Linked DNA regions of Callithrix jacchus. The protein of the gene in region 1 interacts with the protein of each later gene in a biochemical or structural test. Links are inferred from orthologs where the notes say so. Each region holds a gene or a part of one and is shown in the gene's direction. Other genes may lie near its edges.

Region 1 (3,646 bases):
TTGACTTCCACAAAATGTAACAAATAGCCTACTGTTGACTGGAAGCCTTACTGATAACATAAACAATCAGTTAACACATATTTTGTTTATTTGTATTATATAATGTATTCTTACAATAAAGCTAGATAAAAGAAAATGTTAAGAAAATCATAAGGAAAAGAAAATATATTTACTATTCATTAAATGTGAGTGGATCATGATAAAGGTCTTCATCCTTGTCTTCATTTTGAGTAGGCTGAGGAAAAGGGGGAAGAGGAGGAGATGGTTTTGCTGTCTCGGGGGTGGCAGAGGTGGAACAAAATCTGCTTATGGGTGGACTCATGCAGTTCAAATTTGTGTTGTTCAAGGGTCAACTGGCACTGAACTGGAACTAAATTGAACTGGCTTTGAGTAAATCATCTTAATTTTTTGTTTACTTTCTTTCATTTACATCTATATCTGAGTTTACATGATAATTTGTGTGGCATCCTACTTACAAGGCTTGGAAAGGATTTTGGATTTTATGAGACTGTGTCAATAAAATGAAATTTAAAAGATTCCTTCGGTAATACTATTTATTTGAGTTATGAAAGTGGCAATAACAAGTATGATTTAGTGAGCACCTACTTCATTAACTCGTCTCACCTTCGAAGTTGATGTTGGAACTCAAGTTCCTGACTACAAAGCTGTGCTTTTGACCTCTAGGTCATGTGACATCCCTAGCAAGAACTTGAAAGTTTCTTTTGAATGAACAAAATAGAAATCACTGTGTCCTAAATTTATTTAAATTATTTCACTTGCCGAGATGCTCTTGTCAAAATGCCCAGAGAGTCATGCTCTGGCTTATGTTTTTATAGAATTACTCTTGTCCTCCAGAATACTTTAGGGAAATAGGGGCAGAAATAAGGAGGTCAGTTGGGAGGCCAATTGAAATCATCCAGGTGAGAGTTGAGGGGTGGCTTGGACAAGGGTCGTTGAGGTAGAAGTAGTGAGAAGTGATCTGATTCTGGATATGTTTTGAAGGTAGAGTGAAAAGGATCTGCTGATCAACTCATTGATTGTGGAGTAAAAGGGATAAACAGTGGAAGATGACTCGGTTGTGAGCATGAGCAACTGAGTAAATGGTGGTGTTATTTACTGAGATGGCAAAGATCGAGGAGGCAGTGAGATTTAGGGAAACGGTGTTAGGTGTGTTTATCTGCAGATGCCTGTTAAACATTCAAGTGGAGATACTTAATATATCAACCTGGAACCCACAGGAGTCAGGGCAGGAGAAGATACAACTTTTGGAGGTACATGAATGATACTTTAAACCTGAGACTAAAGGATGGTGTAGATAAAGCGGAGGTCTGAGGCCTATTAACACTTGGTGGAAGAGGTGTGTGGAGGGTATCATGGGAGCACAGGAGAAGGAGCACCCAGGCATCCCTGGGGCACTTAGAGAAAGCTGCACAGAGGAACAGGTGTTTGAGCTGAGACTTGAGAAATCACTAGGCTTGTGGGAGTGTGCTAGCGGGGAGAGAAAAGCAACACAAACACAAGCGGTGTGGGAAAAACACCGGAGGTGGGGGAGAAGCACAAGAGGTGGGGGAGAAGCTGGACTGTGACCCAGAGGGAATCTTGGAACTGCAACTGCTCAGATCCTCAAGGTCTTTGACTTCTCACTTAAAATAAAAAACTAAACCAAATGACCATTTACAGGAAGTTGACATTTATGAGAATAATTATTTTATTTTCTTCCAGAAAAACCTTTTGTTGCTTTTGGTAGTGGCATGGAATCTTTGGTGGAAGCCACGGTGGGGGAGCGTGTCAGAATCCCTGTGAAGTACCTTGGTTATCCACCTCCTGAAATAAAATGGTAACTACTGGAAATAAATGCAAAGCATCATTTCTTGTGAGAGTAAATCCTTCGACTGTACTAATTGCTGAGAATTCTTGTTCATAGGTATAAAAATGGAATGCCCCTTGAGTCCAACCACACAATTAAAGTGGGGCATGTACTGACGATTATGGAAGTGAGTGAAAAAGACACAGGAAAATACACTGTCATCCTTACCAATCCCATTTCAAAGGAGAAGCAGAGCCACGTGGTCTCTCTGGTTGTGTATGGTGAGTCCATTCAGTTTTCCTCTCCGCCCAAGATTTGTTATGATATGTTGTCTTCCTACTCAGCCAAGCCACCATTCCTCTGCCTCCTGCTGCTTCACTCACATCATGGCTGGGCCTTTGTACAAAAGTCATCTGGGGCGGTGAAGCTGAAATGTAGGACCGTGTGCTCTGGCCATGTTTGTTTAAGAGGCCATGTAAATGGGCTTTATGGTGGGAAATGCAAGATTAAAGTAGCAATACCCTCGATCACGAAATGCTGTGAAATAAGAATGCCCATAGGGACAGTTGTCAAGCTAAGTTATACTACCATTGTTCCCCTCTCACGGAATTGCCCACCTGGTATGCAGATGTGTAAGACCCTTCTCCTTGGATTTTGTGCAAAGCTTCTAGTTTGATATTGTAGTTGATGTGTCAGTGATGTACAGGTGGATTCCAACTCTGAAGGCTTTTGAAGTTGACACTGTTGGCCTGGTTGGAATCTTGTTTTCTTTTTTGACAGGAGTTCAGGATCTGATTTTGAGTCTAAAGGAAAGATAGTAAGTTTTCGATTTAAAGATGATTTGAACTTTGTGTTCGGAAACCAAATGGCACGAAGTGTTTGGAATGGAGTGGGGAGAAGGGTGCCATGGTCAGGTGAGCGTGAGAGGTGCCAAGGTGATGTGTAGATGTTGAGCAGGCTTCTTCATTGCGGGACTTCTCAGAACCTTTAATATGCTAATGCAGATTGGTGTTCTCTAGGATGACAGACAGAGAATTCAAGGTTTAACGAACCTATTTGACCACAGCTGCCTTTGTCCCCAGAGCAAATTTGTTAATCTCTCACTCCAAACAGTTTGAGAAATGCTTCTCTGCTGTAATTCTTTGTTCTCCCTTCTGGTATGGCATATTAAAATTTCAGGATGTTTTCACATGACATTAAGGTGCTTCCATACGTGTCCTGATACTCCTCTGTATGCCTGCTGAGCTTGGCTTTATTTCTTTTTTCAGGGAATATTTTAAAGATAACGGGTTCCAGAAAGGTTGCTTAGAAGTTGTGTAGGTGTAGGGGACTGGGGAGAGGAGGAACTGGGAAGTGTATAAGTAGGATGGGAGGAGGAAGTGAACAAGAAGTAAAGACAAAACATGGACAGCAGGTAGCCCATTTTATCAGTTCACAAAGCCACTAAATATTTGATTCACTTTAGCATATACTCTGCTATATGAAATAAAGATAAATAAGAAGTCAAATCTTGAAAGCATCATCTGAGGCTTTAGGTTGACAGTAATAAGGAGATAGTTTTGACTTTGCAGCCAAAAAAGATAGAAAGGAGGTTGGGCATGGTGGCTCACACCTGTAATTCCAGCACTTTGGGAGGCCGAGGTGGGTGGATCACGAGGTCAAGAGATCGAGACCATCCTGGCTAACATGGTGAAACCCTGTCTCTACTAAAAATAGAAAAATTAGCCGGGCATGGTGGCATGTGCCTGTGGTCCCAGCTACTTGGGAGGCTGAGGTGGAAGAATAGCTTGAACCTAGGAGGTGGAGGTTGCAGTGAGCCAAGATTGAGCCACTGCACTC
Region 2 (3,646 bases), on another chromosome or scaffold:
CACCGTGAGCAGTTGTCGCTTACTGCAACCGAGGAAGCTTTTGGGAGCCAGTGTAAAACATGCACCTCAGAGTCACCCTGCCCCGGGGCCCAGGGAGCTGCAGTATTTCTAAGTCAGCCCCTGTCGGTCATTGGCTGAGACCTATTCCGGGAGCAGCAAGTCCCCTGCACGTCTGTCCCACCCATGGACATGCACAGTGGGCTCCAGTGGCCCGAGAAAGCCCTCAGTGCAAAGAGGCACAGTGGCTGGCAGAAGTCAGGCAGGCAGGCACTGGGGGACCATGGCTAGGCCACCAGCAGCGCAGGCTACAAACAGGTCAGAGAGAATCCCAAGTTTGCTGTGGGCGTGTTCAAGAGTGAGACGTTTGGGAAGACATCTCATTGGGTCCACCAGGCAGGCATTTGGGTATGTGAGTGTGAGCTCCCGAAAGGGGCCACAGCCAGATAAATGAGTCTGGGAGCTGTTGACACAGAGATGGTGTTCAAAGCTGTGGGGCAGAATGAAGTCACCCAGGGAGAGTGTGGCCGGAGGACAGGGCCCCTGCCCAGAGTCCCGAGGAGCTCCAGCGTGAACATGTCCAGTGGAAGAGGAAGGGTGGGAAGAGCCTAAGAGAGTGCAGCCACGAGGCAGGGGAGGCATGGGGCATCCTGGGAGTCAGAGGGAAAAGGACTTCCTGGGCAGCCTCCCCACTGGGAAGTCAGATAAGGGCAGAAAAGTAGCCCTTAGAGGTCATGCTTTGACAAGAGAGAAGGGATAGAAGCCAGATTGGAAGGAGGCAACGCATGGATGGGAAGGTGGTGAGTGTGAACAACTCTTGCAAGAGTCTTGGCTCTGAAGGGAGGCCAGGAAACGATCATTGGCTGTGAGAGCATGAGGTCAAGGGGGAGTTTTCAGAAATGGGAAATTCTAGAGAGCCCTCTGTGGAGGGAGGTGATGGCGTGAGAAGGAGAGGAGACGCTGATGTCGTGAGAGCGGAGGAAGCCCTTGGGAGGGGTGGGCACTCAGGAGGCACCACAGTGGGACAGGGTGGGGGCACGAGAAGGGGCCCGTCCTTTAGGTGCCAGCACCTGGTAGATGTGAGAGCTGGGAACACTCCTGACTAGTCATTTCTCTCTTCTCAAGTGTGTGTCGGTGCCACTAGCTGTGACAATGGAAGAGCGGTTAGAGAGGCTGGAGGTGGGAGGATGTGTGAAATAGCTGTTGTCGGGGTACAGAAACTCAAACCAGATGGAGAAAGCCAATTGGAGGGAAGTGTGATGTGTTAGCTCATTTGTGGTCTGTGACCAGGAACTGGAGCCAAGTAGACTCATGGTGTGATGTTCCCCAACCACATCCCGTGGCTGCTCCATGTGGCCAGGAGAGCGGGGATGGTGGGGGTCAGCCAGAATGGGGGAGGCAGGCATCAGGGGGTGGAATGAGAGCTAAGCTGGACCAGGAAGGAAGTGATGCCTAGAAGAGGTTTTGGAGAAAGACAGAGCAGCCACAGGCCCAGGGCCCAGCCAGCACTGGCTCACTGGAAGCTTCCTGTCCCCACAGAGGCTCCGAGCAAGCCCATCACAGTGACCGTGGAGGAGCAGCGCAGTCAGAGCGTGCGCCCTGGAGCCGACGTCACCTTCATCTGCACAGCCAAAAGCAAGGTGTGCAGGGCAGGGAGTGGGGATTCGGGAGTCTGTCTTCTGGGGTCTCTGAGTGCCGCCCATGACCCCCTTTTGCTTTGTCCTGCAGTCTCCAGCCTATACTCTGGTGTGGACCCGCCTGCACAATGGGAAACTGCCCGCCCGAGCCATGGATTTCAATGGCATCCTGACCATTCGCAATGTCCAGCTGAGTGACGCGGGCACCTATGTGTGCACCGGCTCCAACATGTTCGCCATGGACCAGGGCACAGCCACTCTACACGTGCAGGGTACACCTCCCTTCTATACCTGATCCTCCCACACCAGCTTCCCCCCATGCCCACCAGGATTAGCGCAGCGTTTCTTCATTCAACTGATCATGTCTGAGCACCTGCGGCACGCCTAGTCCTGGTCTAGGCTCTGCAGAAGCAGGGGAGAGCAGCATGTACGGGATCTCAGCCCTCCTGAAGCACATGTTCTAGGCAGGGAGACCATAAGTGTGAGAATCAATGGATAAGCAAGATAACTACACATGACAATGAGTGCAGGCTAGGCATAACAGTGAAACGAGGTGGGGGAAGGCTGGGTGTCATGGCCCATGCCTATAATCCTAGCACTTTGGGAGGCTGAGGCGGGCGGATCACTTGAGGTCAGGAGTTCCAGACCAGCCTGGCCAACATGGTGAAACTCTGTCTCCACTAAAAATACAAAAATTAGCTGGGCATGGTGGTGGGCACCTGTAATCCCAGCTACATGAGAGGCTGAGGCAGGAGAATCACTTGAACCCGGGAAGCAGAGGTTGCAGTGAGCTGAGATCATGCTGCTGCACTCCAGCCTGGGGGACAGAGCAAGACTCCGTCTCAAAAATAAAATAAAATAAAACAAGATGGGAGAAGCAGGGGCTACTCTAGACACAGTCAGGCAGGCTTCTCTGAGGAGGTGACTCCTAAGCTGAGGCCTGAAGGAAGGGTAGGCATTGAGCAAGTTAGAGAGCTGGCAGAGTGTTCTCTGCAGAGGGAGCAGCACTTGCAAAGGCCCTGAGGCAGGAGCACCTTGCTGTGTCTGGGGAACAGCAGAGACCACGTGACTGGGCTGTGGGAGGGAGGAAGGGTGTGGGCAGAGGGGAGAGCATGCAGTATGTGATGGATCAGGGTAGGGATTTTGGCTTTTATTTTAAAAGCAACAGGGAGTCACAGACAGGTCTCAAGAGGGACGGTCATAAGGTCATACTGACATTTCCAAAGCTCTCTTTGGCTGTTGTGTGCACAGATGGCCATGGAGGGCTAGCCTGGAAGCAGAGAGAGTGGCAGAGTGTTCTCTGTCGTGTGAGTCAGATGACACTCCCCAACGCTGACGTCATGTTCCTTTTCCTCCCTTGTCAGCCTCGGGTACCTCGTCCGCCCCCGTGGTCTCCATCCACCCGCCACAGCTCACAGTGCAGCCAGGTCAACTGGCCGAGTTCCGCTGCAGCGCCACAGGGAGCCCCACACCCCGCCTCGAGTGGGCAGGTGAGGCCATGATGGGGATGCCATTCAGGGCCTGACTCTCCTGGGTGTGGGAGGGCAGGAGCAGGACTCTGAGCAGGCTCGGTGGGTGCTGACCCCAGGTCTACTCACCAGGGGGCCCTGACGGCCAGCTCCCTGCGAAGGCACAAGTCCAAGGTGGCATCCTGCGTCTGCCAGCCGTCGAGTTTGCAGATCAGGCCCAGTACCTGTGCCGAGCCCACAGCAGCGCTGGGCAGCAGGTGGCCCGGGCTGTGCTCCATGTGCATGGTGAGAGGCTGGGCTCGGGTGGGGCTGGGAGGGAGCTCAGCCCGGGCTGTGTTCTCACGGGACTCTGTCTGCAGGGGGCAGTGGGCCCAGAGTCCAAGTAAGCCCAGAGAGGACCCAGGTCCACGAAGGCCGTACCGTCAGGCTGTACTGCAGGGCTGCAGGCGTGCCCAGCGCCACTATCACCTGGAGGAAGGAAGGGGGCAGCCTCCCACCACAGGTAAGATCTGCCCACCCAGAAGGCCAACGGGCTCCGCAGAG
Region 3 (3,646 bases), on another chromosome or scaffold:
ACCCGGCTAATTTTTAAGTATTTTTATTAAAGACAGGGTTTCACCACGTTGCTCAGGCTGGTCTCGAACTCCTGACCTCAGGTGATCCACCCACCCCAGCCTCCCAAAGTGCTGGGATTACAGGCGTGAGCCACTGCGCCCGGCCTGTGAACGTGTTTCTGTTTCTCTTGGGAACACACCTGGGAGTGAAATTCCGGGTTACGTGGTGACCCTAACCTTTTGAGGGGGCCCCCAGTCTGCACAGCGGCTGTGCCATGAAAATTTCCACGCGCCCTGGGTGGGGTCTGGTTTCTCCACAGGATGCTGACGTTTCCAAGCCTCCTTCAGGACCCCGGAGAGTTTTTTTTTGGAGGAGGGGATGGAATTTTGCTCTTGTTGCCCAGGCTGGAGTACAATGGCAGGATCTCGGCTCACCGCACCCTCTTCCTCCCAGGTTCAAGTGATTCTCCTGCCTCAGCCTCCCGAGTAGCTGGGACTACAGGCACCTGCCACCACGCCCGGCTAATTTTTGTGTTTTAGTAGAGATGGTGTTTCACCCTGTTGTCCAGGCTGGTCTCAAACTCCTGACCTCAAATGATCAGCCCATCTTGGCCTCCCAAATTGTTGGGATTACAGGTGTGAGCCTTGCCTGCCGTGGACCCCACAGCATTCTAACCTCTCCTGGGACCCGTGGTTTGAGGCACTGGTTTGGGGTCAGCTCCTTTCACACTCAGGGGCCCTCCAGAGCAGAGGTCGCTGCTCCAGCGCTGCAGACAGCATCAGGCTCTGGGTCTCCCGCTCGCTGGTCTAGCCCCCCAGACCTGGCCCCGAGCCTTCCCTGTGGGCTGAGACCAGGGTGTCACTGGTCCCTGGGAAAGAAAGAGGGTTCGAGGGGCCGGAGCTGGGGGCCGGGCATCTGCCGCACGCAAGGACGCACTTGGGGTGGGCTCCGTGCCTGTCCTGGTGGGCACCCCTCCCCAGGTCCCCCAGCCCCTCCCCTCCACAACTAAGGCCCCCAGCCCTCTCCCACATCTCCCTCTCTGCCTTCCTCTCCCCTCTGGCTCCCACCCTTCTCTGAGCTCCTGTGCCTTCTGCATACCGGTCTCTCTGACCCTTTCCTCCCCAGCTCCCTCCCTGACCGCCCCCCACCACACTCGCTAAGCTTCCTCCTCCCAACCCCAGGGAAGCCATCAACCGTCTCCATGAGGCTGTGCCTGGCGTCCGGGGATCCTGGAAGAGAAAGGTGAGTGAGGCTCCTGGCCTCTCCTGGGGTGGCTGGTGGGCAGTTGGGGCCATCCTGGGAGCCCCTCCATGGCCCCTGCCCACGGCGGCCCAACCCACCGTAGCCCCACCCACAGTAGTCCCACTCACAGCAGCCCCCACCCACGGCGCCCCCACCCACGGTGGCCTCACCCATGGCAGCCCCCACCCACAGCAGTCCCACCCATGGCGCCCCCAGCCACAACGGCCCCCACCCACGGAAGCCCTCGCTGTGCTCGCCCTAACTCAGGCCCCCAACAAGGCGCTGGCATCCGTCCTGGGCAAGAGCAACCTTCGATTTGCCGGCATGAGCATCTCCATCCACATCTCCACTGACGGTCTCAGCCTCTCTGTGCCTGCCACGCGCCAGGTGGGTCTGCCCTCCTCCCCTGGCGTCCCCAGACCCCCAGAGGGGCAGGGAGATCCGGGACCCACTGAGGGAAAGCTGTGTGGGGTGCTGGGGGCGTGTGTCAGGCCCAACTCCGGCCCAGCCAGGAGGGTCTGCTCGGAGCCTCGGTGGCCTGCCTGCATGGTGGTTGGGGTCTATGCCCGCAGGGTGGGAGCAGAAATGAAACTGCACTGAGACGGCCCTCAGCCACCACCCCTCACTGGCTCCATCTTTCTCCAGCCCCCTCCCTGAAGCCCCCCTCTGCCCCTTGCCGCTCCTTCCTGAAGCCCCCATAGCAGCCCAGAGATGCTGCCCAGCCCCAAATCCCTGACCCCTGACCCCTGACCCCTGACCCCTGACCCCTGCTAACTTCTGGGCAGGTGCGTGTGCGAAGTGTGGGTGGTCAGGGTGTCTGAGTGTGAGTGTGCACACGTGTGTCAGGGCGTGGGACATGTGTTTGAGCATCTGGGCAGGTGGGTGTGTCAAGTGTGGCTGCTCATGGTGTATAAGTGTGTGTACGTGTGTCCCCTGCCCTGGAAGTGGGACCCCCGTGACCGTTCCCCTCCTGCCACCGCAGGTCATCGCCACCCACCACATGCCATCCATCTCCTTCGCATCAGGCGGAGACACGGTAAGGCTGGGGATGGGGATGGACCTGCAGCCTGCTGCCCCCTCCGGCCGTGAGACCCTCTGGCCCTTTCCCAGACCCCGTCTCCAGTACCCTCTGCCCACTCCCCCTGCCCCTCTCTGTGCATCGCTGGGGTGGGCAACTGGGAGTCCTGGTGGGGGGCCCAGGCAGGTCCAGCTGGCCCCTCCCTACCCCCAGGACATGACGGATTACGTGGCCTACGTCGCCAAGGACCCCATCAACCAGAGAGGTGAGGCCCCGGAATGGGACGGCTGGTGGGGGCCCGTGGCCGCGTGGCTGGGGCATGGCCGTGTGGCTTGGAGGCCACCTGACCGCATGACCCCGCAGCCTGCCACATCCTGGAGTGCTGCGAGGGCCTGGCGCAGAGTGTCATCAGTACCGTGGGCCAAGCTTTTGAGCTGCGCTTCAAGCAGTACCTACACAGCCCGCCTAAGGTGGCCCTGCCCCCGGAAAGGTAACTGACCCATCCCCACCCCGCCCCGGGGACCCCCAGGGACCTGTCCAGGTGCAGAGCCCGCTCCACCCCCTGAAGGCCCGAGCCCCCACCTGCCCTGGTCCCTCCCTGCCTGTGCTTCCTCTGCTGTAAAACCTGAGTTAGAGCATCCCTGCCCCCTGGGCTTCAGGGAGACATGAGCGAGCTGACTCCTGAGTGTGCCCGAGGCTGTCAGCCCTGCTGCTGTTACCAATATCCCTCCTCCAGACGGCAGCTGGCTCCTGCAAAGGGCAGAAAACGGCCTCCGTTTCCCCACAAGATGCGTTAAGTGGGGGACGTGGCTGTGTGCTGGCAGCATGCTATTTATAGATACTGAAACGTGGATGTCATGTCACTGTCACGTGTTGCCAAATGTTATTCTCTGGGTGTTTTCTCAAACACATAACTTTTAACTCATTCTTAGCTCGTGGGCCAAACAGAGCCAGGCAGTGAGCTGGCTTTGGCCTCGGGCTGGGGTTCGCCAGCCCGGCTTGAAGAAGGAGCTATTTAAGTGTCTGTTCATCATCAGAAAGTCAGGTTCCTCCAACGGTGGCGGGGCAGGTGCAGGCGCGTGAGCCCCCGGCCCCTCTGGCCACGAGGGAGGCGGCGTTGCACGCGTGCCCACTCTTGTCCCTTCGTGCACGGGGACGGTGCGCTCTGGAGCTGGGACGGACCTTCGCCTGCCTCTGGGGCGGCCTCCGCTTTCGTAGGCTGTCCTGTGATTTGCCCATCAGTGACTGCGGGCCAGGCAAGGGGCACCCTCTTCGGCTTGCTGAGGGGCGCCTGCAGGATACATCTCTGCCAGCACCGTCGGGCCAGAGGGCAGGGGCGCTCTGATCCCAGAGACTTGCCACCCTGGCCCGTGGTGTCCTGGTTCTGGGTATCAGCTTGGTTCATG

What was found.
Region 2: the proteins of KDR (region 1) and HSPG2 form a complex in vitro, tested with the Homo sapiens proteins (2 studies listed by IntAct). The link is inferred for Callithrix jacchus from reciprocal best matches to the Homo sapiens genes KDR and HSPG2.
Region 3: the proteins of KDR (region 1) and SHC2 form a complex in vitro, tested with the Homo sapiens proteins (2 studies listed by BioGRID). The link is inferred for Callithrix jacchus from reciprocal best matches to the Homo sapiens genes KDR and SHC2.

Annotation. Positions count from the first base shown.
Region 1 is NC_133504.1:141,642,181-141,645,826, forward strand, and holds part of KDR (vascular endothelial growth factor receptor 2), read left to right. Parts: intron 1-1,722; coding exon 1,723-1,837; intron 1,838-1,924; coding exon 1,925-2,088; intron 2,089-3,646. UniProt on the Homo sapiens protein: Tyrosine-protein kinase that acts as a cell-surface receptor for VEGFA, VEGFC and VEGFD. Plays an essential role in the regulation of angiogenesis, vascular development, vascular permeability, and embryonic hematopoiesis.
Region 2 is NC_133508.1:58,640,254-58,643,899, reverse strand, and holds part of HSPG2 (basement membrane-specific heparan sulfate proteoglycan core protein), read left to right. Parts: intron 1-1,536; coding exon 1,537-1,637; intron 1,638-1,725; coding exon 1,726-1,906; intron 1,907-2,998; coding exon 2,999-3,124; intron 3,125-3,235; coding exon 3,236-3,388; intron 3,389-3,462; coding exon 3,463-3,605; intron 3,606-3,646. UniProt on the Homo sapiens protein: Integral component of basement membranes. Component of the glomerular basement membrane (GBM), responsible for the fixed negative electrostatic membrane charge, and which provides a barrier which is both size- and charge-selective.
Region 3 is NC_133523.1:431,777-435,422, reverse strand, and holds part of SHC2 (SHC-transforming protein 2), read left to right. Parts: intron 1-1,161; coding exon 1,162-1,222; intron 1,223-1,489; coding exon 1,490-1,609; intron 1,610-2,204; coding exon 2,205-2,258; intron 2,259-2,453; coding exon 2,454-2,505; intron 2,506-2,603; coding exon 2,604-2,730; intron 2,731-3,646. UniProt on the Homo sapiens protein: Signaling adapter that couples activated growth factor receptors to signaling pathway in neurons. Involved in the signal transduction pathways of neurotrophin-activated Trk receptors in cortical neurons.